Linked DNA regions of Sus scrofa. The protein of the gene in region 3 interacts with the protein of the main gene of each other region in a biochemical or structural test. Links are inferred from orthologs where the notes say so. Each region holds a gene or a part of one and is shown on either strand. Other genes may lie near its edges.

Region 1 (3,220 bases), on a different chromosome or scaffold from region 3:
GCGCCCGCGCCCCCTACCCGGCCACACCCTGTTGCTGCGGCAGACACGACCCCGCCCCCCGCAGCACCCCACCCGCCCCCGGCGCTCGGCCCGCCCCTTTCCCGGCAGGCCCTGCTCCGGCCCGCAGCTCGCAAGTTCCCCGCCCACCCCTGCGGCCGAGCGAGCCACGAGTGGGACTGGGAGCCCCGCCTCACGCCCCTCCCCACGCTCCGCCCCAGCGCGCGGGACGTGACCTTCGTGTGTCCCGCACCCCGGGGTGAGAGATTGACTCATCTCGGATTTGCCCCGCAGAAACTAACTGGGAATACCGCAGACTGGGCAACGAACGACAGCATCCGGTCACCGGATGCTGGGTTCCGAGCCTCGAGTCTCGGGGCGGGAGCCCAGGGCCCCCGGGAGGAGAGCCCTCTGGGGATGTGGTCGTGGCTCCTCCCGCCCGGCCCTGGAGCCTGAAGTCTATGAGGAGTGGGCATCACCGCTTGCAGAGACACTCACATGACTGTTGACAGTAAATCAAGTTTATTTGTGTTCACAGAACATACTGGGCGACCCCACAGCCGCCCTCTGACAGCCCACTCACCCCCGCAGCCACCCCTTGGGGGCAACTTCAAGGAGATCGAAGGCCAAGGACAATATTTCCACGGTCCCCCGAAGCCTCACATAGTAGAGCCGAGAGTTCAGATGCTGGAGGACCTAAAGTGTCACCCGCTAAACCTAGGACCCACCACCGTCTTCGATTCCCAGCCCGGACCCGAGTTTTCTCCATCCCTCTCCCACCCTCCCTCAGTTCTGGTGCTTGCCTCCACCAATCCCACAGAACTCAATAAATACCCAGAGATCTGCACTTGCAGCAGGGAGCACATCTCGCTCCGCAGCATAAGTTAAAATAAATATTAGGTGCCCCCCTCCATCACCTAGGGGGACATACATAAATACATATAAATATTATTAGGAGCAATGAGAAATAAATTAACAACAGTCTTCCTCCCCATCCGGCCCAGCCCCAGCGTGTCGGTGCCTGTCTCTCCCAGGCTCCCAGGGCGGGCGTCTCCGCTGTAGTGTTCTGAGTGTGAGTTGCCTCAGGAGTCCCAGTTTGGGATACGCTCTTGCGCACCAGGTACACCCGGTGTTTCCTTGTGTTTTCAGATTCTTTTGGGGGTGTGGGCAGTCAGGGTTAGAAAGCGGCTGGGTGTTGCTGGAGAAAAGTGCTGAGGTCCAAAGCGTAGTCCGAGGGCTCCGAGGTCAGATTAAGGGCTCAAGAACTGGGGGCGCAGCGGTGGGCGCGGGGGATGGGGCGCTGGGGGTGTCTTCAGGGGCCAGGGGTGCCGACACACCCTCTTCAGCCATCAGGATCTGACAGAAGACGATGGTAAGCAGGAGAAAGAGTAGCTTTTTGGCAGGGTTCGGATCCTCGACTGGCAGCTGGCGCCGGACCTGAGGGGAGATGACAAAAGGGGGTTAGGTCAGGGCCCCGGCATCCAGTGGTTTACCCTGCTCTTCCCCCGGGCTGTCCGCTTCGCCGACACTCACCACTCGTGGGTAGAGGACCCGACGGCTGCGCTTTCGGAGCCCGCGGGAGGCGCTGGGGCGCGCGGCGGGGGCCACCGCGGGCTCCGGGAGAGGATCGAAGGTGAATATCTCGGGACCAGAGCCTCGCCGGGGCACCGGGCTGGTGGAGGGGGCCGGGGTCGGGGCCCGCAGGATGGTCATGGTAGGGAGAGAGCTGCGAGAGTGACACATTGTGCGCCGAGCTGAACAGAAGGACGACTGGCCCCACAGCCCCGCCGCGCCAGTTATGTACTCGAGCATGGGCGGGCCCTTACTCAACTCCACCCGCGGCTGAGAGCGGTTGGCCGGGCGGCTGGAAATTCCGACGGTTAAGCAAAGGGAGGGGGTGGAGAGTTGGCCAGGGTCAAGGAAGGCCTCAAGTGTGTGTTGTGAGTTGTGAGTGGAGGCGGGTGAAATCCCGGGCTGTGGACACATGTGGGGACATGTAGCAGCTGGAGAGGTGCCCACAGACTGTTTGAGATGGTTCAGCCACAAGCCCCATCTCTGGGGAGGCAGGAAGGCTTAAATAAGGAAGTCTGGCCATTCTGCTACAATATTGACCCAACAAAAGAACCACAGTTACACATGCACATTCACACGTCTGTGGGGATTAAGAGGCAAGTCACTACAGAAATAGCCAAAAAGCCTAAGGGAAACCAATACACTGGCACACACACACCACACTGCAGAGGCAGAAAAATTTCTCCTTTGGCTGGTCTAATAATTAAATTGACATAGGATAGATTAACAAGAGAAAACAAATTTAATTGCATGCTTACAGGAGCCCATGAAGACTTGAGATTCAAAGGCAGTCATTCAGTTGAGGTTTATAAACCATCCAGAGCTAAGGAATGAGATAGGGACCTGGGGCTTGAAGGGGAGGTAGGTAATTCACAGGAGGATGTTTGCTAATTAGATGTTTGCCCTGCCAAGCAGGTAAATCTTGCAGATGAAAGCTATCTCTCCCTGGGTCAGGCCCCCTACTTAAGTTATTTAGGCAGTTAAGGGAGAGGTAAAAAGCTTTTCCAGAGTCTGTTGATCTTGATTGCCTTCTGCTCAAAATAATCCGCATGCTCCAAAGAGGCACATTTTGGGGTGACATATTCTGCTACCCTTCAATATACACACAACACACACACGCATACACAGAACAAAGGTGCAGACACCACACAGGGGCAACCCAGCAATGTGCACAAATGTTCATACATGGCTGGAGCAGAGGACACAAAATACAAAGGCAAGAAGTTAGTAGCCACCCGGATTTAAGTTTATGTGAGGAACATTTAAACTGCGAGACATTTTGCAAATGTGGTAATGACAATAACTCGAGAACTGACACATTTTCTTTAACTGCCTTAGAAATAGCTGTTCACGGACACAGAATATAACATCTTTTGAGCATTCATGGAGCCAGGCTTCCTGTTAAATGGTACTGTTGAGTACCAAGGGGAGTTTCCTCATGTGTGCTGGGGAGCCGGGCATGCCAGATGCCAGGAGAACTACTGTTCATGTCTGTCTAATCAATCAGGCGAGGCTTCAGGGAATAATGGCATTTGAAAGGACCTTGAACAGTGGGGGGGATACCACAGAGTCAGATGTGGAAGATGACTGAGAAAGAGAATGGAATCAGCAAAGGCCTTGAGCGGAAAAGTACAGGATGTGTTTGGGGAAT
Region 2 (4,199 bases), on a different chromosome or scaffold from region 3:
CACAAGCTAAGCGAGACAAATGCAGAAGTTTCCCCCGGTGATACAATCCGCGATCAACGACATAGGGTGGCCGTGAAATCCCCGCCCCCACCTCCCCGGGAGGAGGGGTAGGAAACCACAGAATGTTCCTGACCAGGCAATCCAGCCCGGTGGCGCAATGTTTATGTTTGTGTACCTAGCACATCGGTGCCGCCCGAAGGAGGCTCTGCCGCCTGAGGTGGGGGGTGGGGGTTGTCACTCGGTAGCCCAGGACGAGGGTAACCGCATGCGGGTCTCCCCAAATGCGCGTCCAGGTCCTGGTAATCCTCTTAGAGCACCCAGGATGGGGATTTCGAGTTAAGCCCATATTAGTGGCGAGAACCAGGGCGTGGGGGCTGGGCCCGGCTCCTGTTCCTGACTCCTGTTCCCAGCTGGAGGCTCCCAGCCCAGGGCAGAGTTAGGTGCTCAATCAGTGCACATTTGGGGAATAAAGAGATGGAGTGGCTACAACTGTCTTTAAGTAAACGTGACCCAAAACATGTCTGGCGGCCTCGGGAGGGCGCTGTCGAGCCGCGCTGGGGGGGGGGTCCGCCTCCCTTAACACGGAACCCCGCAGTCCTCGACCTGACTTTACGACCCCCCCGACCAGGATTTCAGCCCTCTGAAATCTTCTAACCTTTCTTAGTTCACAATGGTCTGGGCAAGCACATGACTGAGAAAGACCTTTTTCCTCTTGGGTTTGACTGGAAGGCATTTTACTTGTTAAATGTACATTTTATTTTTAAGTAACAGGAGAGTAGTCTGGGGAGTAGGAAAATATTTCCCTGAACACCTCCACCCCAACTCACCCCGGTTGTTCTTGGCTGGACAAACTCGTTAATTTTCCTCCAACCTTCATTTCAGGCTCCTCTCTGTCCCTCGACCCCCAGCAGCGTGATGCTGGGCAAGTAAATAGCCTCTCCTTGAGAACCTGTTTCCTCGCCTGTTGGGGATGAGGAAATGAGAGAAAGGGGCCCACATCTCTGCAAAAACGCAGGAAACCCCTTTCCGTTCTGCTCTGCGGCGGAGGGGGCGCGGGGAAGGGGCACAGGGCGGGGGGAAGGGAGGCGGAGGCCGGTGGCATGCGGCCTGATCTCCCAGCCGCTCTCAACACCGAGGTCAGCCTTCAGCTGCTCGCGCGCCCTTCCTCTCTCCTCCCTGCCGGTCCCGGAGAGTAGCTCGGGCCAGCTCCCCGGGGACGCGCCAGGCGCAGGCCGGACGGCCCGGCGGGGGATGGGACCCGAGCCAGAGCGCAGCCAGCGGACCCCACTCAGAGGCCGATGACGTCTTCCCCTTTGGCTCGGCCGGCGCCAAGCCCGGCAGGGCGGGTGACGTCACCACACCGGTCACGTGACCGTCATTCAAACAAACAACCCCCTCCCCTTGCGCGCGCGCGCGCGCGCGCGCCTCCGCGCGCCCCTCCCCGCCCCGCCCGCCGAGAGGCCACATATAAGCGCGCTTCCCGCGGGTCTGACTCGCCGTGAAGGACGTTGGGGTTGTAGGTTCTACGCGGGTTGGAGGGGCAGGCAGGGGAGCAGTAAGGAACCCGAGGCGGTCGAGAGACCCGCACGAAGACCCTTCGCTCAGCCCAGAGGCAGTTTGGAGTTTGGCTTAAAGAAAACGAGGGTCAGGCTTTTCCTCGAAAGCCGTCGCCCTCCCCTTGGCTTCCGAGGACAAAGAGCACAAGAAGACTTCACGCTGGGGGCGCTGGGGCCGGCCATGGTCATGGAAGTGGGATCCCTGGACGCCGGAGGCCTGAGGACGCTGCTGCGGGAGCGCGCGGCGCAGTGTCTGCTGTTGGACTGTCGCTCCTTCTTCGCTTTCAACGCCGGCCACATCGCCGGCTCCGTCAACGTGCGCTTCAGTACCATCGTGCGGCGCCGGGCCAAGGGCGCCATGGGCCTGGAGCACATCGTGCCCAACGCGGAGCTGCGCGGCCGCCTGCTGGCCGGCGCCTACCACGCCGTGGTGCTGCTGGACGAGCGCAGCGCTGCCTTGGAGTGCGCCAAACGCGACGGCACCCTGGCTCTGGCCGCCGGAGCGCTCTGCCGCGAGGCGCGCGGCGCGCAAATCTTCTTGCTCAAAGGTACGCCCTCGGGGACGCTCAGGGGCGGGCCGCACGCCCCCTGTCGCCTAGCCCGGGGACCCCCGGCTCTCAGCATCTAGGGGACTGCCCCACCTGGAGCGCCTGGGCGCTCGATCCGCATTCTGGGGACTTGTTGGCTTTGTTTGGTCTGTGAACAAAGACTCGCCTGGGCCTCTCCGGGGTAAACTTCCAGTCCCGTTGGATAGCGGAGTTGTTTGAAGGGTGCCCTGTGTCGGCGGTACTAATGGGAAAAAAAATGTCTCTTTGTATTCCCAGGAGGATATGAAGCTTTTTCTGTTTCCTGCCCGGAGCTCTGCAGCAAACAGTCGACCCCCATGGGGCTCAGCCTTCCCCTGAGTACTAGCGTCCCTGACAGCACCGAATCAGGGTGCAGTTCTTGCAGCACTCCACTCTACGATCAGGTTAGTAGGGGGCCTTACCAGAGGGGAGAAGGAACAGCTGGTAAATGTAGGAGAATATAGAAAGTGACATGCAGCTTTATTTATAACGGGGGACACGGGGATATTTATCCCGTGGTTAAGTGGTATGATGGAGCTGAGTCTCTAATTGTTGGCACTACAGAAGTGAACTTTGTTGGCCCTGCCCAAGCAACTGGGCTTAGTCCCCTATTTTCTATACCAGCAAGATGCTGCGAAGGTCACCCAGTATTGAAACTGACTTGTTCAGGGAGTTTTTGTGGGTGTGGGCATGAGCATTGCCATTGAACAAGGCTTGACAAGTGTTGGATGTTTCTGGATTTCAGGGTGGCCCAGTGGAGATCCTACCCTTTCTCTACCTGGGGAGTGCCTACCATGCTTCTCGCAAGGACATGCTGGATGCCTTGGGTATCACTGCCTTGATCAACGTCTCGGCCAACTGTCCCAACCATTTTGAGGGTCACTACCAGTACAAGAGCATCCCCGTTGAGGACAACCACAAGGCGGACATCAGCTCCTGGTTCAATGAGGCAATCGATTTCATCGGTAAATAAGTGGAACAAGATGCCTGGGACCTGTGCCTCCCTGTTTTAGTTTGAGCCACCGAGCCTAAACTCTACAGCAAGAACTTGAGGGACATTCTTTTAAGCTGTAGACATTACTCTCAGTCAGGTGTGGGTGGCATCCCTATGAAGCATAGATTTGATGTCCCACTTTACAGGTTAGCAAACCGAATCTCAGAATGTTGACTTAATTTGTCCCACATGGGTCTGCTCACATGCCCTGGTCTGGGTTTACATGCCCTGTTCCTCTTGCGCAGTGCCCCCATCCGCCTCCAGGAACAGGGCCCATGTGATGGCATGAGGTGATAGTGACCACCTCTGGACAGGACACACACAGCATCTCTTAGACACCCTCTCCCTGGGGTTGGGGTTGTTCTCCTGGGCTCTCAAGTAACCCGCTGCCCTTTGTTTTCCAGATTCCATCAAGAATGCCGGCGGAAGGGTGTTTGTCCACTGCCAGGCGGGCATTTCCCGATCGGCCACCATCTGCCTCGCTTACCTCATGAGGACTAACCGAGTCAAGCTGGACGAGGCCTTTGAGTTTGTGAAGCAGAGGAGGAGCATCATCTCCCCCAACTTCAGCTTCATGGGCCAGCTGCTGCAGTTTGAGTCCCAGGTCCTGGCCCCGCACTGCTCGGCGGAGGCTGGGAGCCCGGCCATGGCCGTGCTGGACCGAGGCGCCTCCACCACCACCGTCTTCAACTTCCCCGTCTCCATCCCCGTCACCCCACGAACAGTGCGTTGAGCTACCTTCAGAGCCCCATCACGACCTCTCCCAGCTGCTGAAAGGCCACGGGAGGTGATCTTCACAACCCACCGGGACTCCAGGCTCCTTCTTGCAAGGAGACATGCAATAACTCCAAGGAAGGGGGCTCGCGAGGGCTGGTCCTTCCTTATTTAATTTCATCCGAATTCCACTGGGTTCCTGGGCGGTCCTGGGGATGACTTGGCGCCAAGACCGTCTGCTGAACTCAGCACATTGGGGACCAACATGCCGTGCGTGGGTGCATCAAGTCTCTGACAAAAGGGGCAGAAGAGAGAGGACTCGGTGTGCGAGCCGATTTTTTTCTGCTGGGCCCTGTTTCCTGAAGAAAC
Region 3 (4,187 bases):
TTAAGGCAGGTTTTCTTTTACTGTAAGTTATTGCCTCTAAGTGATTTGCTCTGTCTTCTTTGGGGAGGGGGTGCCTGTAGTTTGACTTTGTGGTGTTTGTTCTCTTGTACATTTTCTTCTTAAAGAATTTCATCACCAGCTTTTTCTCATAGTCGTCTCCTATCCTGCTGACTTGCTCTTCTACACTGTTAAGTCTGCTTATTACAGCTCCAACCATTGCTTTTACTTTGGCTATTGTGGTTTTAATTTCATGGTACCCTCTATTTATCTTGGCCTGTCCTTTAAAAGATGCAAGTTCTTCTTTTAATCAAGAATCAGGGAGTTCCTGTCATGGCTCAGTGGTTAACAAATCTGACTAGGAACCCTGAGGTTGAGGGTTTGATCCCTGGCCTTGCTCAGTGGGTTAAGGATCCTGCATTGCTGTGGCTTTGGCATAGGCCGGTGGCTACAGCTCTGATTAGACCCCTAGCCTGGGAACCTCCACATGCCGTGGGAAGTGGCCCTAGAAAAGGCAAAAAGACAAAAAAAAAAAAAAAAAAAAAAAAGGAATAAGAATCAGGTGTTGGGTTCTACTTTATGGACTAAACATATTTCAAAAGAGTACTTTTTGGCTGTAGCCCTTTATTTATTTTCTCATATGCCACATGTTTTTTTTTTTCCCCAGAGGATTTTTTTCTCTTTTGCTTATTCATCTTCAAGACTGTCTAGTTGATCTTTGTTGATGACTGGAAGTCCAGGCTTTCTGGATCACAGTGTCAGACAATCAGGACGCAGAATTTCCCACCCTTAGTCCCCTTTCCAAGACGACGCAGGTGACTCCAATGAAGTGGCTCAGAAGCAAGGGCTGGATCATCTTCTGTCTCATTGTCTTAGCTGTTTATCGAATTCACCTGCTTCAAGATTCTGCCTTTTATTTTCAACCTCTGGTGTTTGTGACTATTAAAGTTACAGTTGATTTATGTTGTGTTCATTTCTGCTATACAGCAAAGTGATTCAGTTATACATATATACATTCTTTTCCATTTTTGTGACAATCTCTGAACCTCAGTGCGTCTAACTCGTTTTCTCTAGATGTTAATACTTGTTTTTTTCGCGTTTCTACCTGGGTAAGATCCTGCCCATCTGTACCAACTTGGGTGCCAGTCTCTGAATCTCAGTGTTTTTCTCAGGGTCTCAACCCACTACTCCCGAACCCCTTACTCTGCTCTCCTTTTCTTCGCAGTACTTCGCAGACAACTTGAGTCTTCCTTCAGATCCATCGACCGTCCATCCATCATCTCCTGGAGGGTAGCTTCGAGGAGGGTGGACGCGCAGGAACGCGGTGACACTTGTTGAACGAGCCTCTGCCGGAGCGGGCCGCGTCCGGGCTTCTTGTCTCCGCCTCCCACTCTGGGTTTCACACTTTCTCAGGATGCAAATATCTCTCTCGGTCTCGGTCACCCTTCCGGCTTCTGTGCGGGTCTCGAGGCCTCTAATCTGTATGGGCCCCGGACTCTCACAAACCTGGCTCGGCGCGCGGGGGCGGGGGGAATCCGCCCCGGTCGCGCTCCTACTCGGAGGGAGCCGCCCGGAGCTTCTCTCGGCCCGCTGCCCCGCCCGTTCGGCCCCGCAAGCTCGCCCCGCCTCGGAGTCCTCAGCGTTTCCCCGCCGCCTCCCGCGAGCGCACGTGACCGCGCCCCGCCCCGCCGCTGCAGTGCTCCGCCCCCAACGCGCCTCTTCCGCCGGCCGCGCAGCCCTGCCCCCAGGCCGCGGGAGCCAATCCGCGCTCACGCCTACGGCCCTGCCCCGGCGCCCTCCTCGGCGCGCGCCCCTCCCTCCGCCCGCCGGCCCGCCCGTCAGTCAGTCAGGCGGGCAGTCGGTACGAGCGGTCGGTGGCTATCTACCTCTCCCGAGCGGGTCCCTCACTGATTCTTCCCGGCCAGCGGCGGCGGCTGCAGCGGCTGGGGCGCGGTCTCCCCGTTGGTGCAGCGTGGGCCGAGCAGCGGCCGCGGAGCATCGAGCCCAGTGCGGCGGCGGCGGCGGCGGCCCGGCAGCCAACATGGCGGCGGCGGCGGCGGGCGCGGGCCCCGAGATGGTCCGCGGGCAGGTGTTCGACGTGGGGCCGCGCTACACCAACCTCTCCTACATCGGCGAGGGCGCCTACGGCATGGTGTGGTGAGTGTCCATGCCCCGCGGCCTGGCCGCGCCCGCCGCCCTCCCCTCCCCCCCAGCCGGGCTCACCGCTGCTGCCCCGCTTGCTCTCCGGACCCCGACCCTGACCCCGACCCCGGACGCGGACCCAGCCCCTACCCCAACCCGGACCTCCGACCTCCGACCCAGGCCCGCTGCGCCGCCAACCGCAGCGGGGCCTCGGTCGGGGCGGGGCTGGTCGGGCTGGGGCGTTGCTCGGCGCGGGGAGGGGGCGGGGGGTGGACACTGGATCCAGGACCCCGGCCCGGGAACCTAGGCCCCCTCCGCCCCCCCCGCCCCCCTCCCCGGCCTGGGTGTGCGCCGCGCGGCCTGCTCTTCGCGCCGGGGTGGGAAGCCGCGAATTCCTTCAGATGCTGGCGGCGGCGGCCGCGGCGTGTGTGCCCCGCCCCGAAATGACCGTCTGTTATTTTCCTTCCCTCGCCTGCGTTTTCCACGCACGGCTTTCATCAGATACCTTCGGTGGTGCCAGCGGTGCTCTCCTGCGCAGGCTTTTGAAAAAGCATTAGTGGCGTCAATGTTTGTTTTGGCATATTTCATTCTTGATGAAGTTTTTAAATGGGTTTTAATATCGTACTGTCCGCGTTTTAGGAAAGATAAACCAGCATCCCTCTCTTGATTTATTAAGGAGTCATTTGGAGTTGGGCCTAAATTGGCTTCTTTTTCCTTTATCTCGCTTGAACTCTATTACCAGCATAAAGGCATCCAGACGTTTTAGCACAATTATTGTGGACTTTTACTGTCAATGCTTTAGTGGTCAATATGTATGCAGTCCTGGTGGAGTTCTTGCAGTGTCACATGCTGGTTCCCTCGTCTTGATGCAGATCCCTCAGAAACGTTTGTGGAGTGGAGGTGACGGTGTTTTTTTTTCGTTTTTTTTTTTTTTTTAAATTAGTACTAACTAGCTGTCTTGTGCTGATGAAGACTTGTGCAGGTGTGGACTCCCTTATACCTAAATCTTGTGAGTGTCTTTTGTGTTGAACGAAGGAAAAAAACTAATACTGAATGCTGCGTGGCAGGTACTGTGCTAGATATATTATCTCATTTTATTTGAATAGTCAGCTGGTGGGAGGGAAGGGCTGTGAGATCTTTCAGATGAGAAAGTATTTCTGGTAAAGCCAATTCCTAAGGTCATTCAACTAAAGAGTCAGACTTGAGATTGTAGACTGAGAATTTAACTTCAGTTGCTGCAGCTCTTTTCATTACATCCTATTTTTCTTAAATAATGTTATTAATAATTTTAGAATTCTAGTCTGTCTTACTCATAAGCAAATCTATTTCAGAAATATATTCAACTTTAAATGATCTTGATTTCAGAAAGGCCATAGAGGGCATGATTTACCAGTTACATTAGCTAGGTTCAAAGACTACATAAACTTTAAAAAAAAAGAAAAAGACTTTCATTGAATCTTGAATATTTTCATTCTTTTCAAGATCAAAATGCTTCAAAGTATACAGCTGAGAATTAACGTGAATTCAGAGGCTAAGGAGCCAAAAGCGAAATTAAATTAGTTGAGGCCTAAAAGAAATGCAGTCCTAGAATGCAATGGAGAGAAAGTAATGCCCCACAGCATCACTTGTGTCCTACATCTGATTGCTGTTGTATCTGCTGGTAAGTGTGCCAGTAAAGGTCTCTATGAAGTGTTCAGAATTGCCTGTCATGTCCTTCAGCCCTTCCAAAGAAGATAAATTAGAACCTAAGATAGACTCTGAAAAGAACTAGTTTTGGAGTTCCCATCGTGGCTCAGTGGTTAACAAATCTGACTAGGAACCATGAAGTTGTGGGTTCGATCCCTGGCCTTGCTCAGTGGGTTAAGGATCCGGCATTGCTGTGAGCTGTAGTGCAGGTTGCAGACGTGGCTCGGAATCTGCATTGCTGTGGCTCTGGCATAGGCCAGGGGCTACAGCTCTGATTGGACCCCTAGCCTGGGAACCTCCATATGCTGCGGAAGCAGCCCAAGAAATGGCAAAAAGACAAAAAAAAAAACAAAAACCAAAAA
Region 4 (4,120 bases), on a different chromosome or scaffold from region 3:
ATGTTCCATCACTGCTCTGGGTAATTGTGAGCTGTTCTGTACTTGGCACCACAGTTTCATTATTCATCTCCAGCTCCATGAAGTCATAAAATTCTATCTTTCCTATTCTTTTTTTGTTTGTTGTTGTTGGTTTTGGTTTTTTTTTTTGCTTTTTTTAGGGCCACACTTGCAGCATACGGAGGTTCCCAGGCTAGGGGGTGAATGGGAACTACAGCTGCCGGTCTACACTACAGCCACAGCACTACAGGATATGAGCCGTGTCTGTGACCTATACCACAGCTCACAGCAACTCGGGATCCTTAAGCCACTGAGCGAGGCCAGGGATCAAACCCGCATCCTCATGGATACTAGTTGGGTTCATTACTGCTGAGCCACAACATATCTATCCATATCTTTTCTATCTTTCCATGTTCCCTGAAGCTCAGAAACCACAGCTGGCACTTGAATACTTGTTGACCAATGAAGACAGGGAGCCACTTTCCCCCAAATCTAATATGGAGCCCCGTGAAGCCACTGAACCACTCTGGTAGTTTCCAGAATGTACATTTTACTCAGGAATCTATGGGGATAAGGTTAATACTTAACTACTAGGTACTTTAACACATTACAAATTAAGACAAATAGGGATCAATTTTGGAATGGGAATGCAAAATGCACACAAATTTCTCTGTGTGAGCTTGCTGGTAGGCAGCTTTGGACATAATCCTTACTGGCTATGTAAACTTGGGTAAGTTAATGAGGCCCTGAGCCTCAGTGTCAGGATCCACAAGAAGGGGAGGAGTGTAGTATGACAAGGAGTCTCCCTGATGGAACTCGTTAAGAATTGAGAACATTAGCGTCCCCACTGTGGCACAGTGGGTTAAGAATCCAACTGCAGGGCAGGGGCTCAGGTGCAGGTTCCATCCCTGGCCCCCCACAGTGGGTTAAAGGATTGAGTATTGCCCCAGTCGCAGCTGTGGCTTAAATTCAATCCCTGACCCAGGAACTTCCATATGCTGCAGGTGCGGCCTTAAAATAAAACTAAGGAAAAAAAAAAGAATCTAAAACATTAATATGTGTGAGGATTTAATACGGTGCCTGGCACGTAAATACTCACAACATGTTAGCTGCCCTTGTTAAGTTCTCAGAACCTCCCTCCCCCATTTGTCAACACATCTCTGTATTTAGCAGCACTCAGTGGAAAAGTCTGTGGTTAGACTTGAGGTTTCATTTAAGGATCTTACCACACTGCCTGGATGACCAAAATCAGAAAGCAAGGTCAGGCCGAGGGGTGAAATGTAACCAAAGCAAAATGTGAAACAGATCCTTTTCAATTAGCCTCTGCCACTATCTCATCCCCTGGAAGAGAATCTTCTGCTGCCTGGGTTTCTTCATCTGTATAATTAAATGGGAGCCATCCTACCTGCCTGCAAGGCTGTAGTGAGATCTTGGACTTGAAAGCACTTGGTAAAACTCAAGAGCAAAACACACCTGAGTTACTGATTAAGAGCATGGGTTCTGGACAATCTAAAGTTAACACCTCCTGCTCTCAGTGTCCTGTAAAGTAGGAGCAATAAGAACATCTATCTCGAGTGACTGTAGTGAGGAATAAGTGAAACAATATAAAGTGTCTGGGGCCTAGAATATCGGAAGAGCCCAACTACTGAGAATTATTATTTTGGTGACTAACCTATTCACTGGACTCCTCACCCCCCAGGATCAGGTAGTGGCGACACCAACACTGGCCCAGGAACTGTGCTCTGTAACCAGCTGGGGGACCCCGGGCAAGCCGCTGACCCTCTGCAAACTTTAGGTTCCGTAGCCACCAAATGAGAGTATTGCAAGAGAGCATCCCTGGGCTCCTACCAGCTCTTCCTTTCCGCTGTTAAGGTCGTCGGAACAAAGGCCACCCGCTCCCCAGCCTGTCCCCGAGGGGCCACAACTCAAAACTCCTGCTGCTCAACTCCCTGTGCAGAACGACAGCAGGAGCGGCCCGGTCTCAACCCCGGAGAGATGCGTCCACGTTACGCCGCCACCACTCGTTTCATCAGCAACCTGCTTCTGCGGCCGCTCGCTGCCCAAAGTTTCCCGAAGCACGGAGAAACTGGGCCGTGGCTCAACCCGGAGAAGACCTGAGGGGTGAGCGCGCGGAGCCTGGGGGCCCGGCCCCGGGAATCCCAAGCTGCCCACGCGGCCGGGCGGGGAGTGACAGGTGCGACGTGGGCCCGCTGGCTGGCAAGCGGGACCTCGGGCGGCGCGTGTAGGCGCGCAAGGGAAACGGCGGCCGCGCGCTCCCCTCAGGCCGCTCCCCCGCGACGCCCCCGACAAGATCCCATGGTCTGCCGAAACCGAGCGGCCCGGCGGGGCTGAAACCCGCAGCGCCGAGGGCTGGGGACTGCCGGGGCGACCGCGCGTGCCGGTTCTTCCCGCGCGAGACTGGGGTGCCGGGGGATGGGCGTACGCGCCCCCGCGCGCGCCGCCGTAACCCCTTCCTCTCCGCGCGCCCCCGCACTCCCATCCACCCACCCACCCATCACTCACCGTCGATGTCCCCTAGGGTCAGCTCGTCGCCCAGCTCCGTGAGGGTCTCCATGGTCTCCAGACCGCCCAGCTCGCCGCTTTCGTCCATCGCCCGGCTCGGCGCAGAGGACCCCCCTGCCGTCCCGCTCAGGGAGACGCGAGGGCGGTGCCGCCGTCACCACCCATGACACCCAAGAGCTCCCGCCCGGTACTGCCTCACCGGCCGGTGCCAACCGCCGCCATGTTTGCGCTGCGCGGGAGGGCGGGGCGGGATTCCCCCGCCCCAACCCGCGCCCTCTATGGCCCCGCCCCCAGGCCGCGCACCCCCTTGTTTGTTGTCAATGGGACCAGGCCCATCTTGACCAATCGCCTTGCGGAGCGGCGCGTGGGGTGATGGCGCGTCAACGATCAGCAGCTCAGATTTGCATAAGAAGGCTCCTCCCCTGGCGGCCTCTTAGCGAATGCGAAGAGAAGGCTCCGGGTCCTCAGTCCAACCTTCTTCCCCTCGTTTAAAGGAACCGCTCCCTTTTTTGTTGGTTTGGCTCCGCAAGCTACTACCTCTGACTGCTGGGAGTTGAAGGGTTAACAAGTTCCGCCCCCGGCCGCGGGAGGCCCCCGAAGCCAGCCTTAAGCACATTACGTCATCTTCCCAGCTGTTCCCGCCCTCCCCACGATCCCAGCCCGCTGGGGAAGCGGGTGGAATCAAACCTAGACCCCTAGTACTGGAGCACGGAGGAATCCTTAGATCGTTAAAGTCACGTTCCAGCTAAGCCCCTTGCAAAGGCGCTACGAAAGCTCGCGAACCGCCTAAGAGTGGAGCATGTTTTGCAATTCATGCGCCTTTGCACCTGCCGCGACGACGCGCTTACTCCGACAGCCTCACCCAGTCTCACCCCGGTACATCAGAATCCCTTGCAGTCCTTTAAAATAATGCCAGTGCCTGGAACTATCACAGGCCTCCAGAGGTTGGGTCCGGGCATGAGCATCATGCGGGGATTATGAGGCGCAACCCACCCACGGATTCCCACTCTTAAACTTCTCAGTTCTGCAGCTGGTCACGATATAAACAAATGTGCACGTTTCTAGGAATTTATAAATAAGGAAGACAAATATGAGTGTTTAAAAAATTTGCAAGTTTGTGTGTTCAAAGGCGTTCATCAGAGTCTTCTGTAAATTGAGAAAAATTGGGAAGCCCAATAACGACCTGCTGAATAAATTACATCCACACAATGTAATTATCATGGCATCATTAAACATTACATACATGAATGTCTATCTGTTGACAACGACTTTCACAGTATTAAAAGGGGAAAGTATGTTTACTGCTGGTCTGTGAGAGGCAGCTGTTGCTTGGTGGTCAAGACAGACTTCACAGGCCCTGTGAAGGCAGGCATACGGGTCCATTTATGAACGAGTGACTCTGAGCTAAATAAACGCCCTAAGCTTCAGTTTTGTCATCTCTAACATGGGAATAGTGTCCCTCATAGTTGTGAGGAAAGTGGAATCACACAATTCAACCAATCACATTGCACATTCATTTGACAATATTTATTGAACATCTCTGGGGCAAGCAAAGAGACAATTCCTGCCCTCTGAGAGCCTCTGGTCCGGTAAAGAAAAC

Evidence for each region. The genes of interacting proteins can lie anywhere in the genome.
Region 1: of the proteins of MAPK1 (region 3) and IER3, one has a biochemical effect on the other in vitro, tested with the Homo sapiens proteins (2 studies listed by BioGRID and IntAct). The link is inferred for Sus scrofa from reciprocal best matches to the Homo sapiens genes MAPK1 and IER3.
Region 2: of the proteins of MAPK1 (region 3) and DUSP1, one has a biochemical effect on the other in vitro, tested with the Homo sapiens proteins (2 studies listed by BioGRID and IntAct). The link is inferred for Sus scrofa from reciprocal best matches to the Homo sapiens genes MAPK1 and DUSP1.
Region 4: of the proteins of MAPK1 (region 3) and SREBF2, one has a biochemical effect on the other in vitro, tested with the Homo sapiens proteins (2 studies listed by BioGRID). The link is inferred for Sus scrofa from reciprocal best matches to the Homo sapiens genes MAPK1 and SREBF2.

Annotation. Positions count from the first base shown.
Region 1 is NC_010449.5:23,265,060-23,268,279, forward strand, and holds IER3 (radiation-inducible immediate-early gene IEX-1), read right to left. Parts: upstream 1,847-3,220; 5' UTR 1,810-1,846; coding exon 1,531-1,809; intron 1,435-1,530; coding exon 1,243-1,434; 3' UTR 501-1,242; downstream 1-500. UniProt on the Homo sapiens protein: May play a role in the ERK signaling pathway by inhibiting the dephosphorylation of ERK by phosphatase PP2A-PPP2R5C holoenzyme. Also acts as an ERK downstream effector mediating survival.
Region 2 is NC_010458.4:51,456,525-51,460,723, forward strand, and holds the start of DUSP1 (dual specificity protein phosphatase 1), read left to right. Parts: upstream 1-1,399; 5' UTR 1,400-1,737; coding exon 1,738-2,104; intron 2,105-2,380; coding exon 2,381-2,526; intron 2,527-2,867; coding exon 2,868-3,087; intron 3,088-3,520; coding exon 3,521-3,849; coding exon of another isoform or gene 3,850-3,890; 3' UTR 3,891-4,199. UniProt on the Homo sapiens protein: Dual specificity phosphatase that dephosphorylates MAP kinase MAPK1/ERK2 on both 'Thr-183' and 'Tyr-185', regulating its activity during the meiotic cell cycle.
Region 3 is NC_010456.5:50,081,692-50,085,878, forward strand, and holds the start of MAPK1 (mitogen-activated protein kinase 1), read left to right. Parts: upstream 1-1,387; 5' UTR 1,388-1,411; coding exon 1,412-2,154; intron 2,155-4,187. UniProt on the Homo sapiens protein: Serine/threonine kinase which acts as an essential component of the MAP kinase signal transduction pathway. MAPK1/ERK2 and MAPK3/ERK1 are the 2 MAPKs which play an important role in the MAPK/ERK cascade.
Region 4 is NC_010447.5:6,781,925-6,786,044, forward strand, and holds the start of SREBF2 (sterol regulatory element-binding protein 2), read right to left. Parts: upstream 2,801-4,120; 5' UTR 2,609-2,800; coding exon 2,521-2,608; intron 2,418-2,520; exon of another isoform or gene 1,846-2,417; intron 1-1,845.